2 linked regions of the Arabidopsis thaliana genome follow. The protein of the gene in region 1 interacts with the protein of each later gene in a pairwise test. Each region holds a gene or a part of one and is shown in the gene's direction. Other genes may lie near its edges.

Evidence for each region. Proteins that work in one complex are often made in the same cells at the same time.
Region 2: the proteins of AT1G13680 (region 1) and AT1G03730 interact in a protein complementation assay, tested with the Arabidopsis thaliana proteins (one large-scale study listed by BioGRID).

What each region holds. Positions count from the first base shown.
Region 1 is NC_003070.9:4,687,608-4,695,699, forward strand, and holds AT1G13680 (PLC-like phosphodiesterases superfamily protein), read left to right. Parts: upstream 1-2,685; 5' UTR 2,686-2,801; coding exon 2,802-2,894; intron 2,895-3,095; coding exon 3,096-3,212; intron 3,213-3,639; coding exon 3,640-3,756; intron 3,757-3,843; coding exon 3,844-3,942; intron 3,943-4,320; coding exon 4,321-4,624; intron 4,625-4,711; coding exon 4,712-4,935; intron 4,936-5,008; coding exon 5,009-5,095; 3' UTR 5,096-5,234; downstream 5,235-8,092. Other genes in the region: AT1G13670 (uncharacterized protein), read left to right, coding at 594-1,271; ATE1 (ATPase E1), read left to right, coding at 5,773-6,088, 6,355-6,572; PGL1 (6-phosphogluconolactonase 1), read right to left, coding at 6,868-7,365, 7,602-7,737, 7,821-7,993.
Region 2 is NC_003070.9:928,407-935,538, reverse strand, and holds AT1G03730 (pyrroline-5-carboxylate reductase), read left to right. Parts: upstream 1-3,553; 5' UTR 3,554-4,018; coding exon 4,019-4,522; 3' UTR 4,523-4,824; downstream 4,825-7,132. Other genes in the region: AT1G03740 (Protein kinase superfamily protein), read right to left, coding at 58-375, 470-754, 831-1,484.

The sequences.
Region 1 (8,092 bases):
GTAAAATAATTATGAAATAACAAAACTTGACAATATGATGTATAAACAACACATGTTTAGATATTATTGCAACGCTTCTCACTTAAGTTCTCTTTTATACTATAGTAGAATGCTATATAGTCCGGTAACAATTTAAATAAAATATTCTTAACCAACTTTCCCAAGATGCAAAGAAAATTGATTTTAGAACCTCTACTTTTTTGGTATCTACTAATACTATATATCTAATCATTATATAAAATTCTCCCACCAAATTGATCAATGGGTCATCTTATCTTTATCGCCTTTTGCCTTTGTGACCATAAAAGGGTTTGAGAACTTGCATGACAGCCGAAAAAGGTGTGAATATTCATTGATATTAACGTGGCATTCCTATGAACACATAGAAACGTATAATTAAACTTGCTAATATTTTCATTTCACTATTATTTTCAACATCAAGTGGGATATTAATTTCTGAACTGAAGATAACTAAGATATTAACCGGTTCAGTTAACCGATTCCTTGCATTCTATAAATCTGACGCACCATATTTCTTCTCATACCACAATTACTAATTAACCAACTCAAATCTTGGAACTCAAGAAACAACAATGTCGGAGATGGCCGGAGATTCTTCAACATCAGAAGATAAAATCCATAAACCAAACCGCGAGAGGAATGTCTCCGGCGAACTTGACGTCTTCGAAGCCACTCGATATTTTTCCGACTTCAACGAACCAACGACGATCGAGTACTCAAGAATCCAAATACAGAAACAAAGCATTGTTACAGAAAATCGACAGAAGAGAGTACACCCTGAGACAGAAGAACACCTCCCTAAACCTAGAGTCGTCGTCATAAAGCCGCAGAAGAAAGAGATGACACGTGGCGGCGGTAAGAAGCTAACCAGTTTCTTGAACTCTCTTCTTCGCTCAGCTGGTCTAAAGAAGAAGTCAAAGTCAGCGCCGGAGGTGGAGACACCACGAGTAGAAAGGATGAGGAGGAAGAGCTGCGTAGTGACTACACACGCCGCAGATGCTTCGCCTCTCACCAATGCCGGCGCGTGGAGTTTAAACGCGCGTAGAAGAAGCTTTGATGAGAAAGATTTGAAGAAGAGTGATCAGAAGTTGAACATAAGATTTTGTGAGAGTCTGTATTCGGACCAAAGGGTTGAGACAAAAGACCCAAATGCAGGAGACAAGAACGATGTAATTGGTGGATGCGAGAGTGATTCAAGTTCTGAATCTGATCTTTTTGAGTTGGATTTGTTTGCTAAATCAAACCCCTAATTAAGAACGGTCCGGAGAATAATTTTCTAATGTAACTTCAGTCTTAATTATTATCATGAAGCGAGGTTGGACCATTTCCACCTTGTACAAAGTTATATTCGTCCATTCATATGTTGGGATATTTTATATTGAAAACTAGCTAGCAGAATTTAGTCAATTGGGAATCTACCAATAGTAAAAAAAAAACCCTAACTCGATGTCACCAACATCTCCTTTTTTAAAAACCCTAGCAATCATCGATTCATCTTTCCACCCTTCTATGACAACACCTATCATGCAATTATTCTATATCGTAGAAACAATTTTGGGTAAAATTAAGTTGATGGGCCTCCCCAAATCATGCATCTTCTTTCCCACTCCTACTGTTCTACTCTATGTATGAAATTGAAATAAAGTATACAATTTTTTTTTAAAGTATTACGCAATTAATACTCCAAACAGTTTCTTATACATATGACAATGCTCATAACAGTTGTCAGAGCATGTTGTAAAAAGCAATTGTTATAATATAAAAGCTGCTCTAGAGCACGTTGAAGAATGAAAAGAATGGATCTGCTGTGTCCTCGCACAAGATTTTTGAAAGGGAATGTATAATCTTATTTAAGGTTTGGTTGACAAATAAAACCTATTTAGCAGAAAAACATTAACAGAAACGAATCATTTAGGTACCCACGAATAACAGTAACCTTCTAAGTTCTAAACAATATTGAGACTACTTTTTGTCTATTGGTTGATGATTGCGTTTGAATAATAGGTGAATTTATCAATTATCATATAGGGATCAATATATTTGTTGGCAGAAAATAATAAATTACTGGGATACTTTTTTGCATGTTTAACATATATCATGTTTCATGTAAAATAACATATATCATGTTATCATGTAAAATCACGTACATTTTTGCCAACGTGAATTGATTGCTATTTATTATAAAAATACAATAATTAATTCTATTTATATTGGATTCTTTCATCCGTATTTTTGGCAAATATATAGTCAACATATGGTCAACATATTTATCTTAAATAATCATGCCGGGAATATTATCCTTAATAAAACCAACTAATCTATAAGAATATATATAACATTAGTGTATTTAATAAACCATTATTTTGTGAAAAAATATATCAACATCTTGAAAAATTTGTAGTTAAAAATTAAAACTGTTTTTATTTAAAACAAAAACCCATAGATTAGTTAATTCATATTATATTTTCTATCTACCACATGTATAAGATTTGCATTACATATTATTGAATTTGAAAAGTTTTATTCTAGTCAAATATGGTTTATTTCCTTCTAAGTGTGATCATTTCCTCTTCTTTTTTTCCAGCTGTAAAAACATTAATTACTATTTAAGAGGTTACCCAAAGAAAGAAGAATTTAATAAACCTTAAGGAAAGTCTTCTAAACTTTTTTTACAAAGACTCCAAAACCGAATCAGTTCTTTTTCAAATTTTTACTACAAGTCTATAACGTTTGACTAAGAAAATTCATTATCTCTTGGTCAAAGCATCAAGTCAGTAACAATGGCCAGTTTCAAATTCTTCTTTGCAGCCATAATTTTGGTTCTGTTTCATCCGGCAGCAATAACTTTTGTTGCTTCGTATGGCTCATTACAGGTAAGCTACAGCTAAAATTATTTACTTTTCAATTTTCTTAAAGGCTATTTCCACCTTGAGATCCAAAGAAGCCATGCGAATTCTGAGATATTCATCAAAAATTTTCTTCGACGAAATCAACTCGAATCTCTATTCACAATTTAGCGATATTTAGGGATATTATCATTTATGTTACAATTTAGGATTCTTACATCAATGCAGCTTGGCGATCAATGCTCATCGGACGAAGACTGCAATGTTGGACTTGGTTGTTTTAAATGCGGTATAGATGTTGCAAGATGCGTTAGATCCAATATCACAGATCAGTTCTCCATTGTGGTTAGTAATAAACAACTTTTGAATCAAACTTTATTAAAAATGTGGTGTTTAAATATAAATTTTAATATATATATTTGAGTGAAACACAAATCCAATTTGGTTTTAGGATCATAACTTAATGTAAGATTCTTAAGAGATGATGGATCATTTAGTCCACTAATTTTGTCGTATATCTTTACGATTATGGATTGTTAAACCCATTAACCCTTAATTTCTTTACCAAATTATAATTTTTAAACCAATTAGTATATATGTTTGGTTCTACTTGAATACTGATAACACTAAAGGTGAACATAATTCTTCCAACATAAGCCTCTCAGTATTGAGATATAGATGTGTTGATATATTGACATAAGATAGGCTTGATCTGCAACTCTTGACTATGTGGGGCTTAACTCTTCTACTGAATTTTTTTTCTTTGTTACAGAACAATTCGATGCCGTTTAATAAATATGCATTTTTGACGACCCACAATTCATATGCCATTGAAGGGAAAGCGCTTCATGTGGCGACCCAAGAAGATACTATAGTTCAACAACTCAACGTGCGTTTTATTAATCAATAGACAAAAAATATATGTTACTTCATTATTATTATTTTTCTATCTTGTGAATGTTATGTTTTTGTTCAGAGTGGTGTTCGAGCATTGATGTTGGATACGTACGATTACGAAGGAGACGTATGGTTTTGCCATTCCTTCGACGAACAATGCTTTGAGTTCACCAAATTTGTAAGTTTAATCTCTAAATTTCTCTAACCAAAAGAAAACCGAGTCAAACCAAAACAATTATTTAGCAAACGTTTGAAAATAGAGACTGGTTTAGAATATAAGAAAGTAATAAACAAAAGAACACAACTTTTTTTGGCATTTTCAAAATAATCTCCCTTTTTGGTTTACCCTAGTGTGTGTGTGTGTGTGTGTGTGTTTGTGCAACACGTTTGTGTTTTCAATTTGCAAAATGTATTGTGAGACACATAATTATTTGCTTTTGAAACAATTGGAGCGTTAGTTTTGTCTTTTATTGGAAGAGAAAATATCCTAACATGCAATGTTTTGGTATAAATGATTTAATTTGGCTTGTATTGTTTTGTTATGTCACTTTTTTAGAATCGGGCGATAGACACATTCAAGGAGATATTCGCGTTCTTGACAGCGAATCCATCAGAGATCGTGACATTGATCTTGGAGGATTACGTCAAATCGCAAAACGGGTTAACCAAAGTATTTACCGATTCCGGTTTGAAGAAATTTTGGTTTCCGGTTCAAAATATGCCTATAGGTGGCCAAGATTGGCCGTTGGTTAAGGATATGGTCGCCAATAACCACCGGTTAATCGTTTTCACTTCAGCTAAATCTAAGCAAGAAACCGAAGGAATAGCTTACCAGTGGAATTACATGGTGGAAAATCAATGTGAGTGTGATGAGATACCAAAATTCCGGTTTAATTTTAGTTTGTTTAGATATCACGGATTAATCCCAACGTGGTATTGATTGTTAGATGGAGACGATGGAGTTAAACCAGATGAATGTAGCAATAGAGCAGATTCTGCACTGTTAACCGATAAAACGAAAGCTTTGGTTTCGGTAAACCATTTCAAGACAGTTCCGGTTAAGATATTGACTTGTGAGGAGAACTCTGAGCAACTTCTCGATATGATTAAGACATGTTACGTAGCCGCAGGGAACCGATGGGCCAATTTTGTCGCCGTCAACTTTTACAAGGTAAGGTTATATTTATTTTTAATTTTAATATCTCCTTGAATGAATTTTAAACTTTAATAACTCCTTGAAACAGAGGAGTAATGGAGGAGGAACGTTTCAAGCAATTGATAAACTAAACGGAGAGCTTCTATGTGGACGTGATGATGTGCATGCTTGTTAATTTGACTTGAATTTAACAAAATGCATTAGTCTTAAAGCTCGCCTTAGTTTACAAGATATTTTTAAGATATATATATATATATATATATCAAATTATTTTAAACATCTGGCTAATCTTAGCATGCATAAAGCATTATATTTTTGGGCTTAGTTTAACTCAAGTTTTTTTTAAAATAGGCTCCAAATGGAACAAAAAATTAAAGGAAACTAAACATTTAGATACCTACGAAGTAAACTTCTGAAATCTGAACAATATTTTGACTGTTTTTTTTGTCTATTTGGTTGATCCGTTGATTATGGCGTTTGAATAATAATACGTGAATGTATCAATTGTCATATTCGGTGGTAGTTTAGCAAAAAAATAAATATGCTTAAAAAAAAAGCAAAAAATAAATATATGGGGTGGCAAAAAAAAAATTGTTGGGATACTTTTTGGCTTGATGTCAAAAAAACAAAAAGGTAATAAGGAAATTTTATAATCTCAAAACAAAATTTATTGGGCCGACCCGCCAAAAACACATATGTATTATTGGGCCAATCCGCCAAAAAGCCCATTTATACGATGGAAACAAAAAAAGAAAAAAAATATCGGTATCGTCTTCTCTCTGGTGTTTTCCAGTAATTCCCTGAGAAGTAGAAGTAGAAGCGAGAAGGAATTCGAAGAAACAGATTTCAACAATGGCGGCAGTTCAACAGCAACAAGCGATGCAGAAGAACACTTTATACGTAGGAGGTTTAGCTGATGAAGTTAACGAATCGATCCTTCACGCCGCGTTTATACCTTTCGGCGATATCAAAGACGTGAAGACGCCGTTGGACCAAGCGAATCAGAAGCATAGATCCTTCGGATTCGTTACTTTTCTTGAGAGAGAAGACGCTTCTGCTGCTATGGATAATATGGACGGTGCTGAGCTTTATGGTCGTGTTCTCACTGTTAATTATGCTCTCCCTGAGAAAATTAAGGGTGGTGAACAGGGTTGGGCTGCTCATCCACGTACGTTTCCAATTACTGTTTCTCTTCTCCTTTTGATTTCTGAAATTTGAGCTATTGATAATGTTGATTTGGGGGTTTATGAAATTAGGGTTTGCAATTAGTGTTCTTTGTGATTTATTATTGATTCTGCAATTAGTGTTGTTAGATTTGCGGATTTGAAGTTAGGTCAAGTTTGTATTTGCTTCTCGATTGTATATATGATTAAGCTGAGAGGTTGTCTCGTTGTTTAACAAATGGGACTTATTGGTGTTGTTGGTTTGTTTCAGTTTGGGCAGATGCAGACACATGGTTTGAGAGGCAGCAACAGGAGAAGGAGATTCTGAAGATGCAAGCTGAGAACAAGGCTGCCATGGAGACTGCTGAGGAGCTTCACAGGAAGAAATTGGCGGAAGATCGACAAGGAGAGATGGAGGAAGATACAGATACCAAAAATGATCCTATGGCCAGAGCAGAGGCTGATGCTCTAAGTCACGGCGATGCCTAATGAAAGTAAGCGTTACCGGATTCTCTTATGCACCTTGTCCTGTAGGATAACAAGTATGTTTTCGCCTGAGTGTGTAACACTGTCACTATCACCTCATAGAGTTTTTGAGGTTAGATTGTTTCTTGAGGTTGATTACCATGTTATTGCTATAGTTAATAGATTTGGTAGTTTGGTGAAACTTGCTTGCTTAGAAAAGTAAGAGTCATGTATCTAAACCGGATGCTCTTCATACAAAAAGGGTCATCACTAATAACAAGAACCAATTGCTTTTGACTCAAAGAAGAAAACCTAAATCCTACTCGGAAAATTTAAACCTGTCAAGCTTAGACCCCGCTTGTTTATCCATAAACCAAATCAGATTCCCATTGCTCGGGTGGACTAGCCTTGCAGGCAGAGACAGAGAGCTGTCTGGTAAGGGCAAATCATCGATTGCTAAGTGGATAGCATTGGCTTTGGATTCGCCGGTTGCTACTACGACAACGTTAGCAGCTGAGTTGATGACGGGCAAAGTGAATGTGATTCTCTCTGGTGGCGGTTTATGAGAGTCGGTTAGGAATGTGACCCAATCGTCCTTCACCTCAAGTGCTGGGTGGTTCGGGAAGAGTGAGGCTACATGTCCATCTGAGCCCATCCCAAGCAAGATCAGATCAAACCTGGGACTGTCACTGTTGTCTGACGCAGCCACGGTTCGTGATCTCACCATCTGTCTGATGGCGAATTCATACTCTGTTGCAGCTTCCTCCGCTGAAACTGTGTCGTTAATGGAACATATATGTCTCGGAAACACATTTACCTGAAAATAACAAAAAAAAATCAAAGTCAACATTATAACAAGACAAAATACACAGCTGTATTGACCAACACCATGATTGGATAAGTTTCCAGATCGTCCATTTGTTTTCTTCACAAACAAGCAAAGATTGGGGCAAAAAAAGTCAATAGATTGCAGAATCAAGAAAACAAGACAACCACAAGAATACAAGATTCTTCTATCCAAAAGTCATCAAGAACCATTCCGAACAATCTAACCTTGGAGAGTAAATTATCTTTGGCTAGCTTGTAGTTGCTATCGTCATGATTCTTAGCTACCACACGCTCATCCGCCCAGAAAACATACCATTTCGCCCAATCTACAATCTTGTCGTAAGGCGGCTCGATCAATTTTCTGTTGAATGTGTAATCCATGAGGAGATAGATCAAGGAGACTGAAAATGGGATTCTTAAAAACTTTTAGGTGAAATAAATTACCCCATGAAGCTAATGAGAGAGCCTCCTGATAACACAATGCAGAAAGCACCATGTTCTTTAATTGATGCTTCTGATATCTCAGCTATATAATCAACCAAGTCTATGCTTAGTTCCTCCAAATTCTCATGAACCCTAATTTCTCCCCTGTCTTTATGAGTCCAAGTAAGTGCCATATTGCTTCCTCTGTTGTTTCACCGATTTTTCAGAAACTCTACAGTTAAACAAAGAATGAGATTTAAGAATCTTTACACCAAAAAAAAGAGATCAGATAT
Region 2 (7,132 bases), 3.8 Mb from region 1:
AGCAAACAAGATGCAACCTGAATTTGGAGGAAATGAAATCTACGAGAATTTGCATACCTCGGTTTTTCCAGGGAGGATCGGTTTACCGGCATATAATTCACCTAAGATGCAACCTGTGCTCCATAAATCAACCCCAACACCGTAATGAGAGGCTCCAAGCAAAAGTTCTGGTGGCCGGTACCAAAGAGTGACAACATGGCTAGTCAATGAAACACTTTTTGCAGGGTCGAAAAAAGTTGCTAACCCAAAATCTGCTATCTTCAAGACTCCCTTACTGTCAATTAGTAGGTTTGAGCCTTTTATATCACGGTGAAGAACGCCACGGCTGTGACAATGTTCAAGCCCACTTAGAAGTTGTCGCATGTAACATTTAACCTAAACAACAGAAACATAAAAGAAACGGATTTTGAAGCGGAAAGAAAAATCTATGCTTTTGACATTAGGGTAGCTCAACATTTATGTGCAGTACCTGAGGCTCTGTAAACTTGACACCAGGTAGTGAAGAAAGTCCTAAGAGATCATGATCCATGTACTCAAAAACTAAGTAAAGGGACGATGAGACAGGGGCAGTGATCAATCCTTCCAATTTCAGGACATTAGGATGATCAAGCCGTCGCATTACTATGATCTCTCTTGCCATAAACTTAACACTTTCCATATCGTTAAGATCAAACCGGACTTTTTTTAGCGCAACAATCTTGTTATGAAGAAGATCGCGAGCTCTGTATACGCTGCTATATGTTCCTTGGCCAATCTGCATCCATAAGAAAGAAGGTTCTATTAAACAGAAACAGGATCTGGACCAAAGAGTGGTAACAAAAGAAACTTACTTTCTCCAGCTTTTCAAAAGTATTTGCTCGTCGTGGAGCCCAATCCACTAGTGACTCACCAGCAACAGAGACCAGCCAAGACGGCCATCCTGCTGCCACTTGCTTCCGCTCTGCATCCTTTGGACTAACAATGCTTGAACCCCTCTTCAGTTCCCGATGAACCACTCGAACCGAAGCTTCAACCTCAGGTTTCTCTACTCCCTTCTCTATCTGATGATGCTCAGAAAACATGCTAGAACTCAACTTTTCAGATTCAATCAACCGAACTTTGGAATCTTTGCTATTCCATCTATCTAGCTTGGCCTTAACAACCTTTGGATCAATATCCAAGTCCGAGTCTACAACAGCACTAGAGGCCCTTCTCAATTCCTGATCATGCACAACTCTATCCATATGAGCAACTGTCGCAGGATTCTCTAATATCTTCCCAATCTGATGATCATGACACCTACTTGTACTAAACATTTCGGATTCAATCAACCTAACTTTAGCATCTCCACTGTTACTCAATCTATCAAACCCATCTTCCGGTTGAATCCAATCATCAATCCTCCTCGACGAATCAATCCGAGAGGAACGTTTCTCCTCTGATGACTCTTTCAGTGTTGTTGACTTTCTTCTAAAAGGCCTATGCCTAGAATTCACACAACCCATTCGTATGCTCTCTAGAACATGAATCTACACACATAACCAATCTACAGAAAAACTTAACCTTTATTATTCACAACCCAATCCATTCACTTCCCTAAAATCTAAACCCTAATTTCAATCCACTCAGAACAAACACACAACTTCAACGGCTCAGCGGGAAATACCCAATTCACGAAAACCAACAAGATCGTATTTTTGAATTCTTCTTCTTCTTCGGAAGACCACACACAGTACACTGTGAAATCCCCAGAAAGAGTGATTCGAACCGGAAAAATCAAAACTTTGGCCGGAATTGAGTGAAGGAATGGAGAGAAATTGATGAAGATTGACTTTAGGCAAAGCGTTGAATAGAATCAAAGAGGGTTGCGGAGAGAATATGTAAGGAAAGGGGAGATTTTTATTTGTTAGTTGTAGCAGATTTGACTAATTAAACGATTACGTAGAGTGAGTCACTATCATCGATCGATGTATGAACGGATTCATAAAAAAAATAGCTAAATGTCAATAACCAACTTAGCCGCCTTTCGTCGACCAAAGTTAGATTTTTCTCCACATCTCTCTCTCTCAGTCTCTCTATGGCTCTATCTCATCATCATTCATGGAATTCTCTTTCATTTATTTTTATTTTTTAAAATGTTCAGATTTTATTAAATGTAAGTTTGATTGGTATCATCATTCAGCCTATTCAAATAATTGTATCAAGACTTGTTTTAGTCAACATTTTTTTTTTGTCAACCTTTTAAATGGTAGATAAAATTGGTTGAAAATTTTAAAATAAACTTAGAGCATTATTATAGTCTTTCAATCTATTTGATCATCGCTCTTACAAGACTAATTGTATTGACTTTTTATTTCGTTTGAAATTATTCTAATTGTTTAGTTTTTTTTTTTTTTTTTAATTGTTTAGTTTTCGTGTATGAAGTTCTTATAATTTAACATGTGGACTAAAACAGTGAAGACAAAAATATAAGAAATTAATCACGAGTATAAAGAAGTTCAGAATTGTGATAGGAAGATGTTGTTTGACTCAAATAATTTGCCAAATACATGTGCACACGCGTGTGTTTGTAAATAACTAAAATAGAATAATTTATGAAATACTTTAATTTACTTGGCTCACACGACAGCCCGATGTCTTTAGAACTAATTCATTTACTTATTTTAAAAAAAAATCAAAGTGTATTAAATATAGAGATCGTCAATAGGATGCCGACACCTTCATCGGCATGCGGACCATGCGGTGTTGCCAATTTGCCATCGCGACCGTGTTGTATGGCAAAATTGGACTCCGTTTCCGGTCATGGGATTATGAACTAGAAGATTCTTTGAAGTGTACATCAATAGAAGACTACAAAACTGGAAGATTATTTGTTTAATGTTCTTACAAATTAATTCTCAAAGTCGTGTCAACTTCCATATTAGAAAAGCGTTTGACACATAACAAAGTCGTTGCAATCGTTCGTACGTGAAATTGTTACAAATGTCAAGGGACGTTAAATTGTTTCATATGCCAAGTAAATCTTAGTATTCCAAATGTCCAATTACTTGGAAGATGGTTTACCATACAATACCACATCCATATCCAATTTTAAAAATGTTTGATTGTAGATTCTCAACTTATATGATTAGTGTTCCATATATTGTAGATAAATGCTTAATCTCATTTGATGACTAGACGGAAGAATATTAAAATCCATATTCAAGAGAAAAAGCTAAGACTTCCATAAGAAAAAGACAATCGCATGCATTCAAGAATTTGCTAGCGGTGAACGTCAAGAAGTTTCGTTCCTTTAGAGTCTTCTTCATAAAAGATAGACAAAACAAAACAAAACAAAAAAGGTAAAATGTCATTAAAGGTTAGAATAAATAGACGATTCTTTTATTTTAGTTTGTCGGCTATAATAAGCGTAGAGGCGCACTATCAAGCCAAATCGCATTAAAAAAAAGAAAAGGAAAGACAAATCGCATTTGTTTGTTTGTCCCTAACTTGCTATACGACTAAACTAAAAAAAAAAAAGAAGATAATGCATTACGTCTCAAACAGATTTGTTGAAGTAAAAAATGGTATAAACAGAAATCGCGTTTCGTCATTAGTATTTAATTTCATAATTCCGAGAGGAGAAAGAAATAAACGAAGAAAAGAGTAATTAAGTGATATTAATGGAAATAATAATATTTTTGATCAGAGTGAGTTCACGCAGTTTCCATGTATATTCATTTGTTCCTAATTTCCATGTCTGGTCTCTTTTGGGGGAAATCAATAAATAAAACGAAACTTAAGCGCGTGTACTCCACTACAAGCCTCTAAACCAACGAGTGATTAACACGCGCTTTAACATGAGAGTGGGACTCACGTGAACTAATCTATTTTCCCCAAATCTGAAGACTTTCACTTTTTTTTTTGTGCTCTCTCTCTTCTTCTTCTTCTTCTTCTTCTTCTTCTAGTTCTTCAGCACAAATCTCAAATCACGGAGATTTCAATTTCCAACACAAAGAAAGAAAAAATCCCTCAATAAAAAATCTCAATCAGATCGCCGATGATGGATCCAACAGGATCGCCAAGAACATCGAATGGCTCTCCTCCAAGATCGTACCTTATCTTTATGCGAATCATGAGCAAGAGACGGACATGGGTTTGTCTCTTTGTAGCTGTCTACGCGATTCTCCTGGCTTCCTCATGGAACTTTCTCACATCTGTGCTTAGCTGGTACAAGCTCCAGTACACGTCATCGCCGTCTCCGTCAAGATTACCGGCGGTTTACGCGTCTGTGGTGTTAGGAGCTGTGTTTGGAGCCATGTCGATGGTTGCGGCGGCTGCGGTTGCGGTTCCGGCGGTTATGGTGATCTGGATATCGGTGGTTGTGTTGCTTGCGTTTTTTGGGAAATCGAGAAGGGTATTGGTTGTTGAAGCTCGTAAGATTACAAGAGAAGTGTTTGGATTTGTGTTTAAGGTTCTTTTGAAAGAAGGCAATGCTGTTGCTGCGGTTTGTGCTGTTTTGGGTTATTTCATTCTTATTAGAAAGGATTTTGATTCGATTTAGGGTTTTTGATTTTGGGAAATTTTCTTCTCTTTTTTTATTATTATTGGATTAGGTGGGTTTTTCTTTCTTTCCTGGAAATTTGACTATTATATTGAAGAAACTCTTGTCTTTTGCTTCTTGTTTAACTTGTTGCTAATGTAGCAATGTATATGTACATTTTATAAACGGAGATGTTCTTGAATCACTATCATTATTATTTCTTGAAAGCGTGTCAAATTATTACATTTTGGCGAATGTTAGCTATCCATTGTTGGTTGGGTTCAAGGTACTTCTTTTTGGTAAACCATAGCAGAAATATAACCTGTACCAACAAAATATCCTAGCAATAAAAAAATAATATATATATATATATATCCTACCTAGCAACAAAACTGAACAAAGTATCCAACTACTAATTCATGCATTTCTCATTTTTTTTTTTTTTTTGGGGACGCTTCCATGATAGTATTAAAATTTGGTATATTCATTATTTTTATTAATCAATTTGTTCATTTTCCTAAAATTACTTATCTTTTTGCTTATAATTTACCCTCTCTTTTTTTGTGTCTAGTTGATTACTTACTTTTTACTTCTTCTCAAATGATGACCTGAATTTTTCTCGTAAGTTCATTATTAACTAAGTTTTAGTAAGCAGACCATGTAGAGTGTTCTAAAGATTACTACAAGTGATTATGTCTTGGAATTTAGGCCCATCTCCCATACGCCATACATTAGACAATTTAAACGTAGTTAATAATGGATAAGCTATGATTTAGTGAAATACTTTCTATTGCAAAACCAAGCTGTGAATATCATTTCTTGGGACGAGTGAAGGGAGAACTGAGAACGATTAAATCCAAGCCAAAATTGTATTAGTTATCCAACCCGAATAATAAAAATAGGGAAATCAATATTCTTATTGTATTAGTAAAAATGAACAGTGTAATTAAGCATAACCCCCAGAAATAACAGATAAATAAAAAATAAATTATTATTATTAAACTCAAAACTATGGTCTCGGTCTCTCGGACATATCAATTATTAAACAAAAATTAGGTGTTTTTGGGCTTTGTGGCCCATGTGTGTTCACGAGCCTCTCTTATCTGGGCCTGGTTTCCCCTTGTGGGCGTTTCCTCTGTTCATCATGTAATGGGTATGGTCCAATTTATATGTTTTCGTATGCTCCTAAAAAAATGAAAACCTTTTAATAAAAATAATAATAAACAACAATATGTTTACATATTTCTTAACTTGAACAGTAATCCTTACCCTTACCTTATAGTGCCTAAACTTTCAGTTGATTTACAGACTATTCGTTAACTAGTATTTTGGCAATGAGAGCAGAATTCTCCAAATTTGAGTTTGCAATTTGTTATAAAAATAATTGATTTTGTTGATGTTTAGTAATATTTTTTTTCTTTTCAATGTAATGTTTAGTAATTTCTCTATGTGTGAGAGAGTGAGATTGGCCAAAAAAGGAGGGAAAACAAAAACTTTGAGATTTGGCACGAAAACCAATTATGATAACAAAAGTCCATCTGTACGGAAAAGATTGAAAAAGTGGAGCTGGTTTCAAAACTCAAATTTGTTGGAACAATAAATTAGTAGTCGTGTAAATTTACAAAAACTTTTGTATATTCGTAGTCAGTTTTAAGAGAGATCTAAACCAATACTGGTCGTTGCTTAGACAGAATCCACTGGTGAACTCGTTTCGGGACATGCGATTTCTACTAGGCAAAAAGAGATCTGGACAAGATGTATTCAGTGCTGGCATTGGAATCTATAATTCATACAATTGAATGAAAACTATAGAATTCAGTTTGCTAATATCAGTTTCAGTAAAACCCCAAAATTAAAACTGAGCACAACCCTAGAATCTTTTGCCCTCGTAAGTCGTAATGTTGAATTTGACTTCCAAGTTGAATACAATTATGCCCTTCACGTCAAATGTTTTTTTGTCCTTTTTCTTTTTTCGTTTTTTTCTTTTCTTCTTTTAATTATTTTTCGTCACTTTTTTTCGTCAATTTAAAATTTCTTAATTTATCTTTTAATTATTTTTTATTTTGTTTTGGGTCAGACTTAAATAAGTTGTATCTAACACGCCAATCTTTTTTAAGGTACACATACAGAGACAAAAAGCAGCAATGGAACATCGTTATTCGTGAATCAATATCCGTCATGTCATGGCAATAATATGTTGCAGGTTTTGATCATGTCAAGAGATGTGTGTTTTGCCAAGTCAAATTAAAGCTGTGTGTTAAACAAAAAAAAGTTCAGCTAATTAAATTCTTACTCTCGACAAGTCAATAACTGTGATGCTCTCAAAGGAAGATTTTTTTTTAATCAAAAAGCAGAATATTAGTTGTAAAATTCAAAACGTGATTTTTTTGAAATCCTAATATCGACGCATGTTATACGGCCACGTTTGCATTTCGAGCTTACCCGTCAAATTTTTTGTTCTCTCGTTATTTAAAAATCAAGTTTCTGCCAAGCCCTAACCCTACCTTAACCCTAGGCACCTCTACTCGCAGGCGGCATTGCCTTTTACCAAAATGCCATTATATCTATTACTTTTTGTCACAAAAAATTCCATATATTTATTAGAGATAACTATGATCATACTGATAATAA